3 linked regions of the Arabidopsis thaliana genome follow. The protein of the gene in region 1 interacts with the protein of each later gene in a pairwise test. Each region holds a gene or a part of one and is shown on either strand. Other genes may lie near its edges.

Evidence for each region. Proteins that work in one complex are often made in the same cells at the same time.
Region 2: the proteins of AT3G29270 (region 1) and CSLC5 interact in a two-hybrid assay, tested with the Arabidopsis thaliana proteins (one large-scale study listed by BioGRID).
Region 3: the proteins of AT3G29270 (region 1) and PRA1.B2 interact in a two-hybrid assay, tested with the Arabidopsis thaliana proteins (one large-scale study listed by BioGRID).

What each region holds. Positions count from the first base shown.
Region 1 is NC_003074.8:11,232,252-11,236,995, reverse strand, and holds AT3G29270 (RING/U-box superfamily protein), read right to left. Parts: upstream 2,824-4,744; 5' UTR 2,656-2,823; exon of another isoform or gene 1,759-2,655; 5' UTR 1,671-1,758; coding exon 879-1,670; 3' UTR 538-878; downstream 1-537. Other genes in the region: AT3G29280 (uncharacterized protein), read left to right, coding at 1-132, 224-291.
Region 2 is NC_003075.7:15,308,970-15,314,577, forward strand, and holds CSLC5 (Cellulose-synthase-like C5), read right to left. Parts: upstream 4,019-5,608; 5' UTR 3,368-4,018; coding exon 2,648-3,367; intron 2,541-2,647; coding exon 2,232-2,540; intron 2,144-2,231; coding exon 1,853-2,143; intron 1,770-1,852; coding exon 1,656-1,769; intron 1,565-1,655; coding exon 920-1,564; 3' UTR 537-919; downstream 1-536.
Region 3 is NC_003071.7:16,863,910-16,867,528, reverse strand, and holds PRA1.B2 (prenylated RAB acceptor 1.B2), read left to right. Parts: upstream 1-1,941; 5' UTR 1,942-2,153; coding exon 2,154-2,795; 3' UTR 2,796-3,083; downstream 3,084-3,619. Other genes in the region: AT2G40390 (neuronal PAS domain protein), read right to left, coding at 1-144. UniProt on the Arabidopsis thaliana protein: May be involved in both secretory and endocytic intracellular trafficking in the endosomal/prevacuolar compartments.

The DNA of each region.
Region 1 (4,744 bases):
GATTAGTCGAAGAAAAACACGGGAAGAAGAAAGTATCGGTTTCGTTCGAGTGTGAGACATTGAAGGCAGATGAAGCAGCAGAGGACCATATCAGACAGTTTATGCCCAAATTAGCTGGACTTGATGCTGTTAGTAAGTAAAACCAACACTTTATTCTTGTGCCATTCTCATTACATTTATGTTGTCTTGTTTTGTTGAATCAACACACCGGGGTTTTTGCCAGTTAACATTGGACCGATGAAGATTTCCGGGCTTGATTTTGCTGCGGTGGAAGAGGGACACATAAACTAAGACAGCTTAACTCTTTCTTTTTGTGTATACATCATATTTGAATGCTCTTTGAGTCTTTGTTTCATATCGTAGAACACAATTAACGCTTTAAGCTCAAATGATCTAGACTAGAACTCATAGAAAACATAAAAGAGAAATAACCGAACCGAAACCAAACCGAAAAGCCGTACACCCACCCCTAATTTTGGGTGTCATCTTTTGCTTTCTTCTATGGAAATGGGTGGAACAAACAAACAAAAGAAAAAAAAACCCATACAATTTAGTCATTATATATAAGAAAAATCAATGCATTTAGTTACGCAATTCCTAAATAACATTGCATAAACTTTATATACATAAATCTTATTGAGACACTCAAACACTCACAAACAAATCCACAAATACTAATAAGTTTCTGCAAGAGCCCTTACAACACATACGTCCAGCTTCGTAGAGCAACAATGCAATCCAAAACTACATCCATATATAGATAAAGAAGACGGTAATTACGAAATTGTTATACTTACATGACCGATCTTGGGTCTCAGTTGTTGAAGAAAAGTCGTCAAATTAGGAATGGGAAGTTTCTGAACGCATCCTTAGAAAGTTCATGTGACAATCTCTCGAACAAGCCAGTCGAGACAAGGATAAGCGAAGTAGAGGATGAGAAACGACGGTAGAGCCAGCAAGAGAGTGACTAGAATGTACATCGCCAATATGGCTGCACTGGTCGGTATTGCATAGAGTATTATCAGCAGAAATATGACAACTAATGGGAACTTTGCTGTCAACTGGACAAAGAAAACCAGAGACTTCCTCAGTGAAGTTTGTATGTTGTCCCTTGGAATGCGATGATCATTAACAGAACGTGATGGTTCAGGTTGACTGCGATGATGGCGATTGTGGAGACATGGAGATGGAGTTTCCCTTGTATGATCATTGTTTCCATCTGTTTGAGCTCCACCAGGTGAGTTACGTCTCTCTCCATTCATCCTCTCGACCATCCAAAGCACAAAGTAGTTCTTGTGAGGGAATCTGAGTGTTCCTCTGAAGACCAGACGGAAAGACAAAAGGTTGCACCAGGGGCATGAAATGAAGAGAGGAAGCTGAACCGGGTGAGTAGGCAATTTCACAATAGCCCATTGAAGTCCCAAAATGCAGTTTTTACACATCGTATGTCCACACCATAACACATACGGAACGTTTTCAACTATATTAAATGATTCCCAGCATATAGGACACTCGAGACCTTCGTCTTTACTACCTACAGAAGATACATCGTCATCTGAACACTCCGCATGAGCATGGACCGGTCTTCTGATATCGTTTTTCGGTCCAATGTTTCCCGTAAGATAACTCGATGCTAGATTCCACATTCTAGTATCAGGGATGGATAACATGAATACCTTGTTTGTCACTAAGACCTAACCAGTTCTGCTAATACTTAACTCTCTGACCTTCATGAACACCGAACTCGATGCTTCATCGCTTCATAAGCAAAGAGAAAACACATATTAATCCTTCAAAGACAATCCCAACGACACACCGATGCAATTCCAACTAAGAATCAACTAATAAGATTAAGTGCTACATTGAGCAACCATGGTAACACAAATCATTAAGAACCTACTATACAGCAAGATTCAATTTTTATGATCAGAATCGATATTCGAACGCTTTAACTTGTATTAGAGCTCAAAGCTCGACAATTTCATCGATAAAGGGGACTCTTTTATCTTTGAGCCAAGTTTACTCACCGATGCAATTCTAACTAAGAATCAACTAAGATTAAGTGCTACATTGAGCAACCATGGCAACACAAATGATTAAGCAACTACTATATAGCAAGATTCAATTTTTATGATCAGAATCGATTATTCGAACGCTTTAACTTGTATTAGAGCTCAAAGCTCGATCATTTCAGCGATAAAGGGGACTCTTTTATCTTTGAGCTAAATTTACTCACAGATGCAATTCTATATCAGTAGCAACCAACTAATAAGACCAAGATTTAGTGATACATTAAGCAACCATAGCAACACAAATGATTAAGAAAACCCTAAATAGAAAGTTTCAATTTTTATACTCAGAATCGAAATCAGACTCTCAGACTTGTATTAGACCTAAAGCTCAATCATTTTCAGCAATAAAGATGATTCCTTTATCTCAAAGGTTATGACTTTATCCGATACAGAAGATCCCAATATAAGATTAAAGGAAGAAAGAGAAAACCCTAAAATCAAAATCACTAAATGAGATAATTGATCACAGAATTAAGCAGCTAACGAAGTAATCGAACCTAGATAGATAATTGAAAGGACAGAGCAATCAAATGGTTCACAATAACCGAAACTAAATCAGAGTGATTTAGATAAAGATTCGTACCGATTCGACTCTGCTCTGAGCTTTTTGTTTCGTACGTGAAAGAAGAAGATGCTTGATTCGATTTTTCCGGCGAGACCTAAACTTTCTGGGTTTTGTTTTGCTTTCATAAACGACGTCGTTTCAATCGTGTACCCAAGTTTTCCTTCCAAAAGTGTTTTTGATATTTTCTAACGTAAAAACTTGGTTAGTTGTTTTTTTATAAACATAATAACATTACCAACCAAAACATTTACGCTTATTGAAGATTAAGTAAACCTCTGAAAAAATAAAACACAGAGCGGTTAATTTTATTAATATAATTTAATAGAATTTTGTATTATAAGTTATTTATCAATTCAATTTTTTTAATATTTTAAAAAGAATAATAATAAATATATTAAAAAGAAGAAATATGAGAAAAAGAACAATCACGAAAGAAAAATAATAATAAAAGAAACTTTACGTTGTTTTTTTTTTATCTATATGAGTGTATATAGATAAAATGCAAATGGACTTAATATGTAAATATTTCTTTAATTTTTGCAACATTCTTCTCGTCCAGAGTTCATTTGTCATTTATCTCTTTGCGATATCTTTCATGTTGTCTCGTTAAAACTTTTCTAATAAAATCCATTGGTAGAAACCACAGTAAGGTAAAAAAGTATAATCATACAAGCTCTCCCTCGAATGACTATGGACATGGGGTGCAGGATGTTCGACATTTTTTCTTGTTACCATGTAATAATCATTGAATGCTTGAGACGTAAATTCACCAACGTTATCTAATCTAACTCCTTTGATTGGATAATCAGGAAACTCAGCTCTTAGTTTTGATTATCTGAGTTAGAAATCTCGCAAATACCACATTTCAAGATGATAACAAACAAACATGTGACCATCTACTAGACATGTCTATCATTACCATGAAATAATATAATGGTATACATGGTGGGTGTATAGGTTCACAAATGTCGCATTTGACTCGTTCAAGGAATTTTGGTAATTCTTTATCGATTTTGCTTGTCGATGGCCTTATAATCAATTTTCCAAGAGAAAACGTAACACATGTCCTTTTATTTTCTTGATAAAACTCTTAGGGTTTCATTGAATGTCCATGTGAGCTTTTTATAATTTTTTGCATCATCGTGGTGCCTGGGTGACCAAGGCGATCGTGCCACAATGTGAAATCATCATGATCTCTTTTGATAACAAGATGTGATCCTATTGAATTAATGTATGTATGATGCAATCCTGATGGGAGTCTTGGTAATTTTTCCAAAACGTGTCTTTTTCCCAATTTTTCAGAAGTGATATACATGTACTTTTTTTCATTCTCACTTGCACACTGAGTGTCATATCCATGAAGGTATATATCTTTGAAACTCAACAAATTTCTTTTTGAATTTGGTAAAAATAATGCATTATTTATCGAGAACTTTGTCCCGTTAAGTAATGCAAAATTTGTTTTACCGGTCCATTCAATTAAGTCTATGGGACCTGATATTGTGTTAACAATAACTTTTGTTGATTTCAAATGAGAGAATTTTTTTTTTTGTTTTAGAATAGTGTGTGTTGTTCCACTATTCGGTATGCAAATATCTCTAAGGTTTGCCTTGGATACCATTCCATTTGTAATGTGATCCATTTCTGAAATAAACATAATCGATTAAGGTAAGTAGAAAATAAATTTATTAATCAAGCATATAACACCCGATAATTATACATGATAGGTAACACAAGCACACAATAATTACACATGATAGGTAATACAAACACACAAACTTAGGAAATTTCAAGCAAGCGTCGATTTATTTATGACATATTAATTCGAGCCCCACACGATAGAAATTTCAGTTTTCCACAAGGACAACCTCATCGAGATCATTAGCAAAGTCAGAAGCATCAAGGTGGGTTGTACCCTCAGAATGTTCCGCAAGGTTCACTTCCTTTCCTTTTCCCTTAACAGATTTTTTGTACAGAGCACAAAGGTGTGCTGGAGTTCGGCATACCTGATACCGATGTGCCTTAGGGTCACATCTGAAACAAGCACTGTCACATTTTTGAAAAGTATTTGCTTGGATTTCTTTTCCTTTCGATTCATGCTCAGGAC
Region 2 (5,608 bases), on another chromosome or scaffold:
GTACTTGTGTTCATTTCACTTAAGCATAGTTGTGAAATTGTTCACTTTTATGAAGGTGAAGCAAAGTAATTGCCTAAGAGGAAGATTGAATACATAATCTGATTTGCTCTTATTCACGTAACAACTAGCTATGGTTTCGTTTCAGCAACTATAAATCCCAAATTAAGTGAAAAAATAAAAGTATACTTGCGAAGTAGACATGGAGACGTTGTTTTGGCATGACAACAATTAAAAGCCTAGAAAAGCAAGAGAGACAAGATCATGATCCTAGTTCGGTCCCAGAATCATCAACAAACCCACCAAATTAAAATCTGTTTGGTCCCATTCTTCACTTACACATCATTGAATTGATTGTTATGTGACGTAAACCTCTCTGACCTCTGCTTTTTTTCTGCAATTATGCTTCTCCTCATTCCACTTCCTCTGCCGACACTTTTTTTGCTCCACGTTTCTTCACTTTTCACCGACACTAAGTTGAGAATGTCCTAAGATCCTCAGAGAATACAATAAATATTGGTCTTTCTCTTGTTTCAGTTTAGTCAGAAAACTGGTTCTTGTTAGTTATTTACAGTTACAATCTCTTTCCACAAAGGTTGGACTTTAAATTACATAAATTCTCTGCAGTGATTTGACATGATCCTTGAAATTAGTTCAAGACAGAAGCTCTTTTAACTGCCAACAACATGTTCCAACTTTACAGATATTGTATACATGTATGAATCTCTGGCTCACACTCTATCCCTAACAATGGAGGAATCAAACCAACATAACAAACAAACAAACGAAACGGAAAATCAATTAATGCCTACCACTATGGTTCCAACAATCTCATTACAGAGGATACCACTGAACATAGAGGAAGTGGAAATTCAAACTCACTGATTTATTGACCCGAGTTATGAATCTTCTTTTGTTCTTCTCAGCTCATCTGCTCGCCTATGAGATCGAGACCCACAAGAAGAAAGGTAACACCTTGGAATAACAGGAAGTAGAAATGCACTCCTTGTGCTGCCAAGAGACTCCTAAGCGCTGCAGTGAGCAAAAGAAAGGCCAATGCGAGCTCTTTGTGGTATATCTTGTTGGTTTTCTTGACAGGTTTCTTTGAAACCGCTTGTTTCTGTTCTTCAAGTTGGCTCAGCTCCAAAAGTTCGCTGTCGGAAACTCCCCTAAGCAATTGACTTTTCTTGGTTGGTGTCTCTTTCTCGGTGATAGATAAAAGATCTGACTCTGATGATCTTCCAGCTTTCTTTGTGACAATCCACTCGTAAGAGCTACCCAATTGGAATAATCCGGACACCATCGCATTGAACTTGGTGACAGACATTGTGTTCTCGAATAAGAGATAAGGAACGATGAAAGGAAACGATTTTGGAGATGGAAGAAGGTTGAGGAAAGACATGAAAACTGGTATGTAGCAGATGACCCAAACAGGGAGCTCAGCTTCTGGAACAAACATGGTGAGTGGAAGGATTATGCAGAACAAAGTGAAGGAGTAGAAAGGAAGTATGAGTTTCCTAAGAAGAAAGAAGAGAAGTATCAGATTCGCCTTCTTCCATATCGCTATCTGCAAGAGTAACCAATGAGAACCAGAAGAAGTCATTAACATGATGATTAGCAAACATTTGAACTAAAAGAAGAAAAAAGCTGCACACTACCTTAGAGGTCAAGATTGAACCAAGACACAAGCGGAAAAGCTGCATAGGTCCCGAATGCCAACGGTGTTGCTGCTTCTTATATGCCTCGTAGGACTCAGGAACTTCGCAAAGGACCTATAGATTTGTTTCTATCCAGTTTAATTCATTTTGTTACATAAATAAGGCTTTTTTTAGAAACAATCGATAAAAAGTAGTACCTTGACGTCATTAAGATATATGAACTTCCATCCATGAAGATGAGCGCGGACTGCTATGTCCATATCCTCCACAGTAGTCCTTTCAAGCCAACCACCAGATTCCTCAAGGGCTTTGATTCTCCATACTCCAGCTGTTCCATTGAAACCAAAGAAGTTCAAGAACACGCCGTTCACTTGCTGCTCCACCTCAAAGTGAAAACACAGATTGATGTTCTGAAGACGGGTCAACAAGTTCTCGTCTTTGTTCACAAATGTCCATCTAGCTTGAACTAGACCTAACTCTGGGTTATCCTGAAGATTAAATCACATTTTTAACATGTTAGCAATCTCTCTCTCCACTTTTCAATGATAGAAAATTGAAACCAATGTTAATACCAACCTTGAAATGTGGAACTGTTAGTTTAAGGAAATCCGGAGTAGGCTGGAAATCGGCATCAAAGATTGCGACATACTCGTATGCTTCAACGTAATCACAGCTCATTGCTGATTTGAGGTTACCAGCTTTATATCCAGTTCTAACCAAGCGATGCCTGTAGATTATGTTGACTCCCTTTTGGCTCCATTTGGCAACCTCAGCTTTAATTAACTGTTGGATGCTTTCATCATTCGAATCATCGAGAACCTGAACCAGTATTCGATCTTTCGGCCAGTCAAGTTGACACACGGCAGATATAGATTGTTCATACACCTGAACAAGAAGAAGACTAAAGCTCATTACACTGATACCAAAAAGGTTATATAAAGCAGGAGAAAGATGAATACTTTCTTGGATATACCAAAGTTGAATGAGCATACCTCTCTCTCATTGCACATTGGAATCTGAACAAGAACCATTGGATACTCAGATCCAGATCCCTCAGCATCATCATTACGGAAAGGTTCCTCATCAAATCTCGGCTTAATTTTCTTATACTTGATCCAAAAACAACCCAAGCAAAGTACCAAACGATCTACTGACTGTATAAGGAACAGCACAATACAAAACTTGGAGAGAGCTTTGATGGGAGGAGCAATATAATCAGCTCTAAGGGTTAACCAACCAACATACACAAGATGAAACAGGCTCTGGATCTCAAGTGTGCTAGTGGGGATGTGAAGACTAGGGCTTTGAAAGTAATGCCATCCTCTAAAATAAGCAACAATCTCAAAGCCGAGAATCACTAAGGAAACAGCTAAGAAGAGCTTAATGGCAGTGAAAAGCCATCTGTCTCTGCCTAATTTCTCAGAGCCAAGTGGGTGAGTGAAACTAAGCCGTTTCTTGATGGCACCAAGGAGAGACCAAAAGACAGTGGCGAGCCAAGTGAGACATCCAACAGCTCTATGAGCTTTGAGAAGCAAAACCCAAGTGACTTGCTTAGCGTTCTTGCCTCTGCTCTTCTCCACTGGTCTAAAAGCCGAATCTGGACCGTCGATTTCAACTACAGAGTAATTAGGATTCTCCATTTTCACCACAACTGGTGTTCCTTTCCTCGTGTCTTTCGCCCACCAATCTGAAAAATCCAACCTTGGAGCCATCTTTTGCCTCTAAAATCTCCTCTGAGAAGTAGAGAAATCGAAAACCCTAGCTGAAATTTCTAAATGTGGTAAGAAGGATCCCAAAATAAACACCCAAATCTCAAAGTGTGAGATTTCAAACACAACCCATTTTCAGGAAAACAAAAAGGTAGAAACTTTGAGTGAAAGGAGTGAGCTTTCTCTACTAATAATGGAAGAGAAAGAGATTAATCTAACACCCAGATCCCAGAAATCTGAAATCTAGAGACCCATTTTGTTTTTTATTATATTCTAAAAAACCAGACAAAGAAGCATCCACAGCTCAAGGCTCATTTATAGTGGACCTCTTTTTTTAGAGAATGACAGAGAGAAGGATGGGTTGGTGAGAGAGTGTAGTGACTCAGAGAGAGAAGCAAAGGCAGAGGAAGAGGAAGAAAGGTATCATCAGTGAGAGAAGTTGTAAAAGATGTGTCACTTGCACTTTCATGTGTGTGTTACTCTTTCAGCTACTTATTTGATTGCTTCAGCATGCAAAATTCATCCCCTTTTTATTATCACTCTTTGTAATCTTTCACAAGCACTTGTCATGTCATGGATCTTCATTACAAATATTTGTATTTTCTTAAAAAAAACAAATTTGTTATATATTCAAAAGAAAGAAAATTGAGGAAAATCCATTGATGGATGGGGACCATATGGGTTGTTTGGCAATTTGAGGTGAAGACAAATTCAAATTTGTATTTGTGACCAACTATGTACTAGTTACATTGGAACATGTTTATAAGAAAAGATACTACCAAATCGGTTTCAAGTGAATCACTCTATTTTGCTATCACCGCTTCTCCTACGTGCTCCCCATGTCATGTTCCATGTTTTTTCCAAATTATATATTTTATACATTTAGTCAAATTCTCTTTGTAGTCCATTCATATTTGTTAAAAATACTATATTAACATGAGTTAAAAGTTTTCCTGATTAATTTACTCAAAGCATAAGCATTTTCATTATTATATTCTTGTCAAAAAAAAATCTTGAGTGTTGATCATACTTGGTAATTGGTATAATCACAAACGTAAGTCAAAGCCTTACTGTTAAAACAAAGGGATGCAACTCAATATTAACTATGAGTTCTATAATCAAAATATATATTATACATTAGGAGAGTAAGGAGGGAAACATTATACTTTGGTTTATTGACAAAGTGCTCTCTAACAATCAAAATTGGTCAAGTGTTGACGTAAAATATTGCCGCTAATTTTGGTCATTTTGTAAAACAAAAGATAATTTAGTGGTGCATGCCTTTGACAAAGGGAAGTATTTGACAAAAAAAAGAAGAATGTGATTCATTAGAAGGATAATGTCAATTTTTCAGTTTTAAAAATTCTGAAAGTTCCAACCAACAATTAGGTTACCCGAGATACTTGTCGGTGGTGATATCAACACATGTAGAACACTAGAAGATAAGGATATTCGTTGGCATTTTTAAGGTTTTATTTACTATACAATACCTAACGTTTTACGAAAGTATCATATAAACACTAATAAGAGAAAAGGAAAAGCTAAAAGGAGAAAGATCAAAAGAATTATAAATAAGTAATTTTGTAGGTTAGTACTATTTTTTTGTAATACCTTTTTTTATTTTGTGTTGCTTGTGACATGCATCTACAGAAACCAATCGGTGCTGAGTAATTAAAAATTTGTCATGTAGATTAAAGTTAGACTCAAGAATATATTCTATACGGTTTTAATAATTACTGGCTAGCTATTATATAACGTCATAGATGGAAAAAAACAAAAACTGCAGAATTTAGTGACATTTTTTAATGAATTTAGCCTCAGACACAGTTCTGCCCTAAACACAAATGGTTAGATAACTATGACAATTCTGATGAAATAATAATTCACAAATTATTGGACATGATATATTTTTAAGTGTGCTTTAAAATGAATCCAAATTAATCATGTATATATTAAGATGATCGATTGTGTATTGGTGAATGATTATTAGTTATGACTCATAATGATATTCTTTGAACTATGTTATCATAATCTTTTCATACAGTGCTTTACACCCTCTACTTTATACATATTTATTTCAATAATTGTAATTAGTGGATACAATCATTCAATAATTCATTTAATCGATTAAAGTTTTCTATTGTTATGTTTTTTGTTTTATAAGTTTTTCAACTCTTCCAAAGTAATGTCCATTTCTTTTATAAATTTGAATATTCTGAGCAAAATCATGGAATAAATGAATGT
Region 3 (3,619 bases), on another chromosome or scaffold:
GGTACGAGTAAGAGTGAAGTTCAAAGATGGGTGTGATGAATTTGGAGAGCAAATACACATGGACATTAAATTTCCTTTCCATAGAGAAAGAGGAGGAAGAGTTTGAAGCCAAGCAAACGCATCAGGTGTGTCACAAGAAGCCATTAGAGCTAATATTGAATATCTAGTTGTTGTTCTAGATATGTGTGGTATAGAGAGTATATGATTAGAAGACTAGATTTATCATTTATATATAGAGAGAACATTTTAATGAGTGGAAGAAAAGTAAAGGAAGAAAGATTCGCTTATTTTTTTCAAAAGGTAAGCTAAACAAAATCATGAACTATTTTACGTAAACCAGAAAATATAGAGCTACGCACGAACACGAGACGTCTCTTTAGTAAAATATTGAAAATTTGAAATGTGATAATGATTAAGAGTCCTGCAAATTATGAGATAACGTACAAGGAAAAAGGTTTAGATGATAATTAGAGTAGCTAGACCGTTAAGAGGGATGTAATTAAATTGATAAAGTACGTGCTATTCAAGATTCTTCCATATGTGGATTTCAACCCGAATTTCCAAGAAATATTCTTGATTAGGCCGACGAATATTGTTATTCGATGCCTCTATTCTACTCAATAATGTTTCTTCGTCTTTATTTAGTTTACTAATTATATGTTTGATACATAAATAAATACGAATTATGGAGTGTGTTTGTATATACATAAATACGAATACGAATTATGGAGTGTGTTCAAATAATTATACATAAATAAATAAATACGAATTATGAATTATATACAAATATAAATTATATACACTTGAAGCCTGACGATTACAATAGCAGCTGATCATTATCTTCGGGGTGAATTCAAATTATGGATTGTGTTTGATTTCCTCAAGTCTTAATTTTCATCTACTTTTCAAACGACTAATTAATAGTGGCTACATAACTAACGACTCGATGATAAACACTCCAAAAAGCAATCAATCACTTGAGCAAAAGTTCAAAAGAAAACACTCCAAAAAGCAAACGCAAACACCAAACAAAACAAAACTCAAGTAGAGTTTTAGATAAAGCAACAGTAGAATTTTAGAAAAACCAAATTAAAACACCAAGTGTTTATGCCAAATAAATTGGCTAGACGAAGCAAAACAAGAACACATTATTGATAGTGTAGATTTGGAGTTCACTAATTGATAGTGCAACGTTTGAGTTCAACATTGCCTAGGCTGAGTGAGAATATCTTATTGTTTCCATCCACGAATTTGAGAAAGTAACTACATGTTACCTTTACCTTCTTGTTATTCTCGTCAACCTCATTTATCTCGGTCATCTCAACATGAACAAGTTCCGCAAACCTCCATTTGTTTTCATTATCTCATTTTGATTGTCCCAATCATGTCAAACTCATCTTTTATCGCTTGCACCCCCTTCTTCATGTAGTCTCCACCACCGGTTGCATAGGCGTCTTTAAAAATGCTCTCGAGTTCCCTCCAGTTGTCTTTGCCCCAAGTTCCTGGTGTCTCAAGACACCATAATTCATATATAACTCATAATTCATATTTATTTATGTATATAATTTGTATTTGTATATAATTCATAATTTGTTTAGCTTCAAGTGTACATAATTTGTATATAATTTAATTTCACAGTTTATAGATATATTTAGTAAACCTTTATCATTCATGATCAATTGATCATATGATTGTTTCATTTGTTCAACGAGAACACTCATAGGGTGGGAAATGAGATGATAATTATTGAAATGATCATATAAACAATTGTAGGAAGTCGTAATTTATCTGCAAATAAAATTAGAATATTATTAACTACACTAATTTACTAGTTTGTGTTGTGTTATCCTTGTAACATCATATAGATACAAACCACTGAACCAGTAAGATTGTTTGTTTGTTGAAAAAAAAAAAATGGTTTTATGAACCAATAGTGGAATATATTGGGCCTCTTCCAACATTATAGACCCATCTAAAAATTGCTATTAACTCCAACTTAATATATTGGGCCTATTCCAAAACATTATAGGCCCATAAAATTTAGGCCTTTAGAATATCTAACACGGTTTTGCCGCAACTTCAGTTTCCACTAAAATCGGAACAACAAATTCACACTCTCTCCGCCGCGCACAGACTCACCGACACCACCAATAATGTCTTCTTCTCCGGCGATTCTTCCCGTCACCAACCAGCAAGCAGCCACTCAATCTCAACCTCCAATCAATTCTCACGCCTTCCGTACTTTCCTCTCACGCCTCTCGTCCTCTCTCCGCGAAAGCCTCTCTCAACGCCGTCCATGGCTAGAACTCGTAGATCGGAGCTCCTTCGCTAGACCTGACTCTCTCACCGATTCCTTCTCCCGGATCCGTAAGAATCTCGCTTACTTCAAAGTCAATTACTCCGCAATTGTCTCGTTAGTCCTTGCTTTCTCCCTCCTCTCGCATCCATTCTCGCTTCTCGTCCTCCTCTCTCTCTTAGGCTCCTGGATGTTTCTCTACCTCTTCCGATCTTCAGATCAGCCTTTGGTTCTCTTTGGTCGTAGTTTCTCAGATCGTGAGACTTTGCTTGGTCTTGTTTTGACTACGATTGTGGTTGTGTTTATGACGAGTGTTGGATCTTTGTTAACATCGGCGTTAACGATTGGAATCGCGATTGTTTGCTTACATGGTGCGTTTAGGGTTCCTGATGATTTGTTCTTGGATGAACAAGAGCCTGCTAATGCTGGTTTACTCTCGTTCATTGGTAATTCTGCTGCTACTTCTGCTGCTGCTTCTGTTGTTGCAGGACGAGTTTGAGAAGCTCGAATTTGATGATTCTGATCCTAGAGAACAAACGAAACCTGGATTCTCAGGGTTTTTAGTTATGTTTTGAGTATAGATTCGATGAAGATCTGTAAGTGTTAGATCTAAAGATGCATTGTTGTGTTGTATTCTTCAATTTCGTCACAATTTAGAAAATTTGGAGCTGATCCTTCTCAAGTATTGTAAGATCTCATTTACCTTAAATCAATTTGATACTCTTTGCCTTCATCACCATATGTTTGAGTTAGATTTAGACTAAACCAGTGAAGATTATAGTTTGACCAAAGTATTAAGGATTAAACAAACAACATGTAGTTTAACAACATACGTGGTAGATGTAAATCTTGTAACTAGTTATGTCTATGTCTCTCTAGCTACCAACTATTTTATTCTTCCACAAGTTTCCTCTATCTCGAAAGCGAACAGCCAATACTGTGTACGAATTTGCTGATAGTAAGAGGGTTATATCATGGGAAAGTTTCCCACTGGATTTACATGTTTGGCCAATTTGACAAAAACGACACACGTTTAGTTTGGGGATTTTGTCTTAAAAACTCGGCTGCCAAAAACAAACTGAAGATTCGGTCACCTGAATTGTCTTTTTCGGTCAAAGTCTCACTGAGTTGCTTCTTTCTTAGATATAATATAGGTGACCTGTTTTTAATCTTCATAACATGAGATATATTTTCGTGGAATGAGTTGTGTCTTGTGAAATCTTTTTTCTTTGGTTTTAATGTTAAGAATGTCTTGTGAAATCTTTTCCTGGATTCTAATTATTGGTGAGAATGTGAGATAAAAACAACACTTAGGTACTAAGT